Linked DNA regions of Bombyx mori. Each later gene encodes a partner of the first gene's protein in a complex. Links are inferred from orthologs where the notes say so. Each region holds a gene or a part of one and is shown on either strand. Other genes may lie near its edges.

What was found.
Region 2: WD40 repeat-containing protein SMU1 (region 1) and zinc finger matrin-type protein 2 share a complex: the UniProt entries of both Homo sapiens proteins name them as parts of the spliceosome B complex. The link is inferred for Bombyx mori from reciprocal best matches to the Homo sapiens genes SMU1 and ZMAT2.
Region 3: WD40 repeat-containing protein SMU1 (region 1) and protein Red share a complex: the UniProt entries of both Homo sapiens proteins name them as parts of the spliceosome B complex. The link is inferred for Bombyx mori from reciprocal best matches to the Homo sapiens genes SMU1 and IK.

What each region holds. Positions count from the first base shown.
Region 1 is NC_085112.1:942,671-947,049, forward strand, and holds the start of WD40 repeat-containing protein SMU1, read left to right. Parts: upstream 1-1,525; 5' UTR 1,526-1,726; coding exon 1,727-1,752; exon of another isoform or gene 1,753-1,769; intron 1,770-1,846; coding exon 1,847-1,913; intron 1,914-2,614; coding exon 2,615-2,873; intron 2,874-3,244; coding exon 3,245-3,759; intron 3,760-4,197; coding exon 4,198-4,325; intron 4,326-4,379. UniProt on the Homo sapiens protein: Involved in pre-mRNA splicing as a component of the spliceosome. Regulates alternative splicing of the HSPG2 pre-mRNA. Required for normal accumulation of IK.
Region 2 is NC_085128.1:9,737,886-9,741,312, forward strand, and holds zinc finger matrin-type protein 2, read right to left. Parts: upstream 2,038-3,427; 5' UTR 1,835-2,037; coding exon 1,720-1,834; intron 1,633-1,719; coding exon 1,391-1,632; intron 940-1,390; coding exon 700-939; 3' UTR 649-699; downstream 1-648. UniProt on the Homo sapiens protein: Involved in pre-mRNA splicing as a component of the spliceosome.
Region 3 is NC_085122.1:6,718,448-6,722,104, reverse strand, and holds part of protein Red, read right to left. Parts: intron 3,317-3,657; coding exon 3,119-3,316; intron 2,551-3,118; coding exon 2,487-2,550; intron 2,379-2,486; coding exon 2,304-2,378; intron 1,854-2,303; coding exon 1,743-1,853; intron 810-1,742; coding exon 745-809; intron 208-744; coding exon 1-207. UniProt on the Homo sapiens protein: Involved in pre-mRNA splicing as a component of the spliceosome. Auxiliary spliceosomal protein that regulates selection of alternative splice sites in a small set of target pre-mRNA species. Required for normal mitotic cell cycle progression.

The DNA.
Region 1 (4,379 bases):
TTTTGCAATTATTGCGAAACCTCAAAAGAGACCATTACTATGTGGCTTTAGCAAACAAACTACATACTTTAATTTTTAATTGTTTTTTTACAAGTACCTCAAAAAACACCTTAAATAAGTTCATGCCTCACTTGCCGCGAGATGGCTCACTGGCGTTACTTGCATCTGTTATCAATATACTCATCTCTTTTGTCGTGAAAGGGCAGTCTAGCTCACGACCTTAGGGTCCTTGGTTACCTGGTGTTGAGGAACTTCATGGAAACCCAAATCTATCGTGCTCGTAAACGGCATCAAACTCGAGTCGTGAGATTCAAGTCTTAATTGCTTTGAAATATTCGTAGATAAAACGCTGGCACCTTTTCGTCATAACATTTAATATGCGGACGGCTAGTTTTATGGATACCAGAAGATGAAAGATGATAGAAGGCAGATGGATAAATGGGAATTAGTCATATACCTATCTATAAATTGTGATTGTCCTATAGGCAGACGAGCTTACGGCCCACCTGATGGTGAGTGGCTACCATCGCCCATGGACTTCAGCAATGCTAGGGGCTGAGTCAAGCTGCTGCCTACCGTTATATTTGACAGTAATTTGCCCGGCAGAGAAGTTCGCACCTGCTCCGTAAACCCTTCTGGGACTTTGTCACCGCGAAAAGCATTCTCGTCAACGAGCGCGAAGCTCCATTCTTTCCCCGTTACTCAGTTCAGTATATATTTTAATAATACACGCCAGTCGTCAGAGACCCTTCTAGCTCTCTTCGGCGATGATACTAGTTATTACTGGAGTGAGCTGGGAAGATGTCGCTAATTCATCGGCGACTCTAGACCGCAGGATCAGGAGCTTCGGAAGTGGCGTAATTAGTGGTGGTAGAAAGTCTTGTGAGTATCCTTGTGAGTAGTGAGTAGACTTGTGAGTACCTACCGCACGGGTAGGTACCACTACCCTACCTATTTCTGCCGTGAAGTAGTAATGCGGTTCGGTTTGAAGGGTCGGGCAGCCGTTGTAATACTGAGACTGTTAAGTATGTGTGCGTGTGCCTACGCATACGGGGTATTTCAACAAATATAGGGCAGTGTGTTAACAGCAGGCAAGTGTTTCACTCGTGTATCCCTCGTATCTAACAGAGACCTTATAACTTACATCTCAAGGTGGGTGGCGGAATTAACGTTGTAGATGTGTATGTGCTCCAGTAACCACATAACACCAGCTGTAAGCTCGTCCACTCATCTAAGCATTAAAAAAAGAACGATCCTGATGACCGGACAATATACAGTCGCCCTCAGTCTTAACCCGTTATTTCGGGTCAAAGAGTCGTGGGTCCAATTTCCAGGATAAAATGTACTATGCGTACATCGCAAGCTACTAGGCAGGATAAAATGCGTAATGCATATTAAACATAATAATTAAGGCCTATTGGTAGCATAGGAGGCATTGACCATACACTTCACGTTTAGTTTGTAGTCATAAAATTAAATGTTATGTGGGCAACATGGAGTAAGGTTGTAATAGTAACTCTATGGTGGGCAATCTATGTATGGCTTGTAGCTAATCTATGGCGCTGAACTTGAATTGTGTTTATTTCCTTCTGTGTGATTTTATTTTCAATAAAATTTTAGACATTAATTTTGTGACATTGTTTATTATATATGTAAAAATATAAACCTTCAAATTCGCGTAGCAAGTTTTCTGTGGTAACTTCGTATAAAAGACGTTTTATACACAATGTCCATTGAGATAGAATCAGCCGAGTGAGTTTACTATCAATGTAAACACGAAATTACTTGAAATTATTCATCAAATATTTAATTTAGTGCCTAAAATATATTTTTATTTCAATTGCAGTGTTATCAGACTGATACAACAATACTTGAAGGAGTCAAATTTAACCAAAACATTGCAGACTTTGCAGGTTAATTCTGTTGATATTTAATTAAACATATTTTTTAATGAATAGAATTAGTGTAAATTTTTTAAACTTTACAGATTGCACTTATTTTACTTAATTATTCACTTATATTAATGAATTTTGTGTACATTTATGAGAACTTCAATTGTATCAAGTCAGAAAAGAATACCAACTTATTATTGATAAACTCTTAAGCTTTGACACTGGCTAGGATTAATGTTACATACGGCTTTTTTAACTTCAGACAGCATGCAACTTTTAGTAAGATCCACCCATATTGAACAATTTGGGGTTGTGAATTTTTTTTAAATATTGATACCATTCCTGTGCCACTGAAGCTTTAACTTCCAAGATTAGTAGTTGTAATGACCAAATTATATGAGATGTATGCATGTTGTTCACTACTGTTAGGGTGTCTTGTGACCCCCCAATGGTACCTATAAGTTCCTGCCTATTTTTCAATAGAGCAGCCATGTGTACAGGTTTGATAGATGTGACAGCTGTAATACTATGTATAACACTGAAATTTATACCTGAAGTTTCAAGTTAGAAGGATGGCAGTGTTGATATGTCTCAACTAAAGACTCAACACTTAGTTGGCAATGAGCTTGTTCACCATTTTATGCAATAAAAAGCCGTAACTGTACATCTGATTCAGATGTCATCTCTCTGAATTTTGAAAGTAAATGATTTTTAATATATAGGAGGAAACTGGAGTGACTCTAAATACAGTAGACAGCGTGGACGGTTTCTGCGCAGATATTAACAATGGCCACTGGGACACAGTACTTAAAGCTACTGCTTCACTCAAGCTTCCTGACAAAAAGTTGATGGAGTTATATGAGCAGGTTGTATTGGAGTTGATAGAACTGCGAGAATTGGGTGCTGCGAGATCCTTGCTACGTCAGACACATCCTTGTCTGTTGATGAAGCAGCATGAAACAGATCGGTATATGCATCTTGGTGAGTCAAAATTTTAGTATATGTATTTGGCTAAAAATACATCCAGTCTTTAAATCAGATTTGTATCTTAGAATGCTAATGAATATGAATAATATAATATAAAAAGATATAATATTTAAAATAAAACTTATTGCAATACAATAGTAAATAAATGCAATACAATTAAAGTAAATAATACTACTGCTGTAGCAACTTGGCTATGCCTTTGGCATTGTTGATGTCCATTAATGTGACCAGATGGGTGGTCCTAAGCTGATCTAAATAGAGGCAATAAAAACATGTTTAGTTTAAGCAATTTTTATACACATTTCCAATTGTTTTAATCCATAGTTAAATCTGTATGTGTCTGAATGTTTATCTTCATATGACAGAAAACCTGTTAGCACGTTCATATTTCGATCCTCGTGAGGCATACGGCAGTGGAGGAGGCAAGGAGCGGCGCCGCGCTGCCATCGCAGCGTCCCTCGCCGGGGAGGTGTCCGTCGTACCGTCGTCCCGTCTGCTGGCACTACTGGGCCAGGCCCTCAAATGGCAACAGCACCAGGGTCTGCTCCCTCCCGGCACCACTATAGATTTGTTCCGTGGTAAAGCCGCAATAAGAGACCAAGAAGACGATCTCTGCCCCACCCAACTGTCCAAGATCATCAAATTCGGTCAGAAGTCCCACGTGGAGTGCGCGCGATTTTCTCCTGATGGACAATATTTAGTGACGGGCTCCGTAGATGGCGTCGTTGAAGTTTGGAACTTTACAACAGGAAAAATCCGTAAGGATTTGCGTTATCAGGCTCATGATGAGTACATGTGCATGGAAGAGGCGGTGCTGAGCCTGGCTTTTGCGAGGGATAGCGACACATTGGCTGCTGGGTCTAATGATGGAAAAATTAAGGTAATAAATGTTTTAAAACCTCATGCTAGTTAACCTTTTCATTACTGCTTCCGTGTAAAAAGTGAGTTATTATTGCTCCCTAATATATAATTATATAATGCTATGTATATGACCTAATGAGCTCAGAATTCACCTGGGCATCATTAGGTGGTAACAGACAAAACGGAAAGCAATATATATTTCCTAAGATGATTATATACTTTTTGTTGAACATATCGTGCAACCGCAATGTAATGTGAAGTTAAGAGACCTTCTCCTCCCCTTCCCTCCTCTTCTCCACCCCTTCTCCACCCCTTCGCCACCCCTTCCCCGGGCTGCATTGAACTTTGAACATGAAATTTTTTGGTCGTTCAAGATAGTTTCATTGTATCCTTTGTTCAACACATGGGTCATTAAGTAAATTCAACATAATTACTCAATAAAATTCTCTGTGAACAGGTCTGGAAAGTGTCAACGGGTAAAGTGCAACGCAAACTGGACCGAGCTCACTCTAAGGGCGTGACCTGCCTGCAGTTCACCCGAGACAACACTCAGATCCTCTCGGCCTCCTTTGATCGGACCATAAGGTATTTATTTATAAAGTTAAACCTTAAAGTGTACGGGAGGCGTCGATGATCTAC
Region 2 (3,427 bases), on another chromosome or scaffold:
CATTTAAACCCGAAGAAACACAAAATAAAACAAATCACACAACTTCACGCCTCGCGTTCCCGCCAAAAAGTATTATATAAAATTCTTTTTTTAAGGTATTTTATGACCTGGTGACTAAGACCTTTAAGTCATGTCTTATTTTAATTTATAGATTTGGGCGAGATCGTTATCTTAGCCCAGACTCAACAGAAACGACTTAGAGTAGAGAGATGAGCGCTCTTTTAACGCCCAGCCAACTGATTTTGTTGTTGAATTGTTTATTGTCCTCGAAAAGTCAGTCAGTCAAAGTAGTCACGTGCGATTTACATATCCCAAAATCCCAAATCCCAAAAACTAAAGTTGATGTGAGTTTTGACATATACAGGACTACTGGAGTCAGTGAAAAGCTTTCATCTAGCACATGAAAAACATGCCCTCATACCAAGTCCGGTAGTGGACATTGTAGCCTTATAATTTATATTTTTTAATTGGAAAAAGCATTTGGAACATGTTACATTTACATGGTGTCGTTTTTTCTAGCCTTTTCCAAATAAATATGGTAATATTATCCTGTCTGCTAAATCAAAGTTCATAATTATACCTTGATAAAACAAGGTCAGGGCAAATAGAATTATTAGCCAAATAATAATTAAAACATTCAATGAAACATTATTGTACCACACAGTATTTATTAATATAAGCTTTACATTTTAAAACATATCATTTTTTAGATCCTCCAAAGCCAGAAAACCCCATAATTTGTGCTAATTCAGAAGGTGCTGGTGTATCATCTATTTCATCATTCTCCATTAACTTCCGTTTCTTGTCCCGACGTCTCTCCCTACGTAGCTCTTTCACACGAGCTTCTTCTTCAGCGGCTTCCTTTAATCTTGTGTCTAATTCATATTCACGCTTTTTCTCTTCCAACTTTCGTTTATTGAGTGCAAATCTTGCTTTTACCTGGAACCAAACAAATATAATGTAGTAGTAGTAGCTATGATAGAATAGAATAAATATTATTAAAACCTGAATGGTATTTATAAAATTGAGAACAGCTAGATGAGTTAGATAGATTATTTCAAATTAGTGGTCTAGAAATTTAAATCATCTATTTGGTTGAACATTTTACATTTATTATTCCTTAACAATAGCATTAGAACTTGATAAAATTAAGATTGAAAGAATTTGTTGAGAATTATTTTAATATTGAGTGCTCTAGTTGAGTGGGATGGTAGGTTTGCTCAACTCAGGCAATCACAAAAATAATAGCGTTGGTTCATGATGTTTGTTATTATTTTGATGCAACAGTGGCCAATTGATGATCTCAGACCATAAATCTAGTAGCAAGTCAACAATCCTATTTACCTGCTTGGTACTATGCATATACATACATGTGAAAAAGTAAGCTCACCTGATCTAAGCTGCTCCTTTCTATTTTCATGGACATTCCCAGATTCCTCTGATGTTTTTTACCATTGATGTGATCAAGGAAATTTATTGAATCTTTAACAACACAGTCACAAACATTACAATAATATCCTCCAGATTGGGACGTTGGCGTATTCTTATTGATTACTACACTCTTCCCGAGTCTCGAGTCCAAATCTACTTTATATTCACGTTGTTTGAGAAGTTCACGTTTGACTGGAGTGGCTGGAAAATGAAAATTAAACAAACATTTATATATTGTGTCAAATTTGTATTTTAACGTAACAAAGTGTGTTGACACAAATATTTTACCTTTCTTCTTGGATTTTTCTTCTTCTTCTAGCTCTGCTTTCAAACGCTCGGCTGCAATTTTCTCGAATTCCTCTTTGTCCCATTTTCTTCGGTGGTCATCGGGGCGCATACTCATGTTTAAATTTTATAGTATTTATTTCACAACAATTACAAGTTATGATTTTCTTACACACTCCACTTGTTTGTTTTATATTAAACGTGTACCCAGAGGGAAGAGTAATCAATTAGATCTATTAAAAAAATAACACGAGAAAATCATCCTTAACAACACAAACGAAATGTTTCTAATTGACAACTAGCAGTGACAAAACTGACAAATGATTAGTTGTAGTATTTCCATTTTCTAACAAGAAAGGCGAAAGCATATATATATTATACAGCCTAATCTTTTATATATTCAGTTACATGAAAATTAATATAATAGGTTGGGGAAAAAGTTTCTTCGCATTTTTTAAGAAAATTAACAAATTTTTTTAATAGTTTATTTACATTTAACTTAAGTATGTAGGTATCATTTTGTTCGATAGCTTTTTGCCATTTTGTAAATAGGGACATGATCCCATTGCTATAAAAAATTTGGGGCTTCTGATCAAAATACCGAGACAATTGGTTTTGGCAGTCCTCTCGTGATGTTAATCTGACACTGCCTAAAGAATTCTGAAGAACCGAAACAGGTGGAAACCTGAAGGTGCAAGGTCAGGACGGATATACGGATAAACAGCGGATGCATTAACATCTTCCAGTCAAGCTCTCTTAATTTTTGCTGAATGGCTAAAGATGTGTAAGGTCACATTGTTATCATGATGAAAAGCCACACTCCTTCTGTTGATTAATTCTGGCCACTTTCTCTCAACTTCTTCCTTTAATCTCATCAGTTGTTCGCAGTAGAGTTCAGAATCAATGGTCTTGCCTGGTGGTAACAGCTCATAATGAATAATGTCCTTCCAATTCCACTACACAAACAGCATCACCTTGTTGCAAGTTAACCCAGGTTTTGCCACAGTCTGTGAAGCCTGACGGACCTTTGACCACGACTTTTTTCGTACGTTCTTGTCGTGCGTGATCCACTTTTCATCACCAGTTATCAGCTTCTTCAAACATGGTTCGGTTTCATTACGTCGTAATAAAGAATCACAAATGAGTACACGGTTCATTAGGTTTCTTTCAGTGAGCTCGTGAGGTACCCAAATATCGAACTTTTTTGTGTATCTATTTTTTTTCAAATGAGCCAAAGCTGTTTTGTAGTCAATTCCCAGTTCTTCAGCTACGTCGTAACTACTGATATGCCGATCTTGCTTTACTTTTTCAAAAAGATGCGATCAGTCACTTTCACTTTTTCAAAAAGATTCGATTAGAGCGACGTACAAATTCTTAAAATAAAAATTTCGTATTGAAAACGCTTAAACCAATTTTGTGCTACTTTCACAGACACAGCACTAGGTCCATAAACATCGCAATTTTTTTTCGCGGCCTACGTTGCATTTTTACCTTTTTTGTAGTAAACTTTTTAAATGTATCGATTTTCTTCATTAGATTCCCTAATCTTGACAGTACGAAAAACAAATAAAAATCACACATTTTCTTAATTTGAATTTGGAATTGTCTTTTTTAAAATTTTAAACCTTTAATTATTCCAAAACCAGCCAGATACAAATAGTATAACCAAAGAGATTTTATTACAAGTTCATACATACCTACCTACTATAAT
Region 3 (3,657 bases), on another chromosome or scaffold:
AAATATGAGAAGATCTGAGTCAGTTTCTCGACGACAAGATCATTTGCACTCGAAGCCGAACTCCTTTCGTCCATTTCGGGAACGTCCGCTTTACTCCGAGTCAACGTTGTGGGTATATCGGAATCGATTGTGCCTTCTTCGTCGAGCTCGACCACGTACGCCATACGACCGGGAGCAAACATTTCGCTGCGGACAACTTTCTTGTTCCTGAAAAAGGCAGTCATCATTTTTTATAACACCAAACCCAATAACTCTTTAGTTTATATCACTACATAGTATAAAACAAAGTCGCTTTCTCTGTCCCTATATCTGTCTGTCCCTATGTATGCTTAAATCTTTAAAACTACGCAACGAATTTTGATGCGGTTTTTTTAAATAGATAGATTGATTGAAGAGGAAGGTTTATATGTAATAACATCCATTAAATAGTGGAGAAATCAATAATGAATTACAGCTTCCGAAGCGAAGCGAGGGCGGGCCGCTAGTACTAAATAAGAACTTCAATGAATCTAACGTTATTAAGGAATTAAGTAATCTGTTCTTTATCTAAACAAAAAATTATTGCTTCAATGGGTTGACAATCTCCTTGGAGTTAAATGGTCATTGGTTAAGTGGTCAAGTAAATGCCACCCATCTTGAGACATGAATTCTAAATCTTTCTTTTATAACGGTGTTGCATTTTAAGTAGTTGCTCTAATTATCGTCACAATAGAGTTTATAATGTTACGAAAAAAATTAACTTACTTTTGTTCTAGAATCATGTCAAAAATATTTTTTCCCATTTGAGTCTTGAACTGCATCTCTTCTTCCTGTAATAATAAAACTAACAGTAAATAAAATAAAAATTATATTGTTTTTTTGAAGCTGTAAGTATTTTAATTTGAAAAGAGAATCAAACTGTTCGAGATAATTTCATTACATCATCAGTGAAGAATAGTTCATTTTGACAAATTTGACCTCTAACGATAGACAGAAGATGGTTATGGTGTTAAGTAAAAAATATTATATTCTTAAACTTCAATGTTATTGATAGAACTATGACTAGACTATCATCATGATAAACATTTGCTTTGAATCGAGTATTCTCACTAATGAATGAGCCAGTACTCTGACTCTGGCTTAGTACATTTAATACCTATACTGGTGCTACTGCCTATTATCATTGTAGAATGATGCCATTCTCTAAAGTTTAGACTTGGAATATTTTCTAAATGGTGATTGATTTTATTTTATAATGTCAACATTAGAGGTGGCTTTTTTATCTATTGTAGAACATATTGTGACACGCTTAGACTCGGGATAAATAAATGTTCCACTAAAGTACAACTACAAAAAAAAACAAACAAGGCAATTATTGCAAGTTCTGTAACACAGATTTTGTTGTGTATTGTAGTAAACGCTGCTAGTTAGTAAATACACTTGCAATCTTCAACATATACAATACGGAGTTACATCTCCAAATAAGTGGCAACATTCACATTGTGAGGTGCTGGATGGGTTGAGTTTTAGTAACCACTTAAAACCAAATGAGCCATAACTTCATTCGTATGACTAGGCATCATCATCATTCTTTCCTATTACCCTCTGCTGGGGTGTAGGGCTCGAATCAATTTTTTCCATTTACATCGGTCTTGGGCAGTTTGTTCTAGCTCCTCCCACTTCATATGACTAGGCAAATAAAAAAATTAAGACATGAACTCATTTGCAAACTTACGAGTAAAAAACAACATGTATTGACTTACAACTTCCTTCTTTTCTTCTTTCTTTTCTTTTACAGGTTCCACGGGAATAGTGACCAGTCTCTCCATTTCGGCTTCTTCTTCTTGCTCCCGAGTTTGTATTTCTGAACGAACCTTTAACACAGAGTAAAAATATAATATTATAACAAATTTATGATTCGTGAAAAAAATACATAAATATACATGATTTTTAATATATCCTATGATCCTATATTATATTCTTGTAATATGGATCTATGGAACAAAGTCAAAATTATAATATCAATTATGAGACTTATCTTGTTAGAAACTATAGAACTATACATACATTTGTGTGTACAAATATAAATATATATGTATATACATAGTAAATAAAAAATATTATCCTTTAGAACATATTGCAGATTATACTGACATATTATAAGATTTTGGTCTAATATCTGAAGATGGGTCTTCATTTTGCAATATGTATGCTCTGTTAACAACTTAACACCGAAGAAACATAATAGCATTAAATAATTAGCATTAAATAAAACCATTATTTATAATATTGATTGATCAATAGAAATTGAATAAATATCTTACCTTCTGCAACAAAGCATAATCGAGACCTTTTACCAAGTGAGTGTGCTCCATGTCACCACCAAGATATTTGGATTCCTGTAAAATGAAGTAAATTGTAAAATAATTGTTTATTAAAAATATTGAACAGTAATATTCTATGTTGTTATAATATTTAAGATAAAAAAGTTAACTATAGGTAAATACCTGGATAAGTTGTCTCCTCCTTTCTTTGGCATCTAGACCTGATTTCAAATCTGGAGCAACAGCTCTGTAAAAAAATTACAGATTTTACTTTCATTTTTAACTGTGAACAAATCGCACATGGACCTCAGGCCCCAAATTAGGTGTCTATATGTTATGGATACCAGATACTGACAAACATCCTTATATAAGTTTAAATATATACATATAGTAGGTAATAAACACCTAGAAAAGCCTGTTCATCACATGAATGTTTGCTCGATGTGGGAATCGAACCCAGTGCCCTCAGCATAATAGTTAGAAGGACACTACCGATTCATTTAGAGTATGAATGATTCAAAACTTTAAAAAAAACTACATAGGACTTCACTCAATTTTATACTTTGTTTTGAATGGCAGAGGATCAGAGATGGTTGAAAAGTATGTCATAGCATTCAGAAAAGGCATTAAGAAATCATTCCAATCATATAATGTGGCAAAGGTGATCTCAGGAACTCACTTCAAGACAAGCACAGAGGTCCAAGCTAATAAGAATTAATTTGGTTCTGATGGCAAATGGTGACAAAAAAGAAACAATAGAATTTTCCCAAATAGTTTCTTAGCTATATATATAAAAAAGAGAGTATTAAGTTTACCTATAGGCACTACTTGTGTTGCTTGTTGGATCAATAACACTTAAATCATTCACACCATCTCTCCTCTCTCTAGCTCTGTCTCTGTATTTCTCCGCAAGCTCTGCTAGCTTGTTGTCTTCTTGTTTCTTAAGAGCAGCATAGTATGACTTTTTCTTACGACGTAACTCTCCTTTATTCTCTGATGGTGGTGGCATGGATCTGTTATGTTGTGAAAATTATTGGTAAGAAGATATAATAAACTTTTGATACATTTTAAGAAACAAAATTTTTATTGCCATTGTTCACATATAAAAACATGGCCATTAATAGTAGTACCCTGAGGTAAGCTGTACATTAGTATCCTCTACATGGTCATGGTGTAACATGGACATGAGGAATGTCAGGGACACGTCAAGGCTGTGTCACTAATTCCTGTCTGCCTAATCTTCCTAACTGAAGGCCTTTAGACACTTCTTATCCGAGACAAGTACAAACCATTTTGTGTATTTCCTTGGTGGAATAGATCTGCCACAGATACTCTTTGATATATATTAATAAAG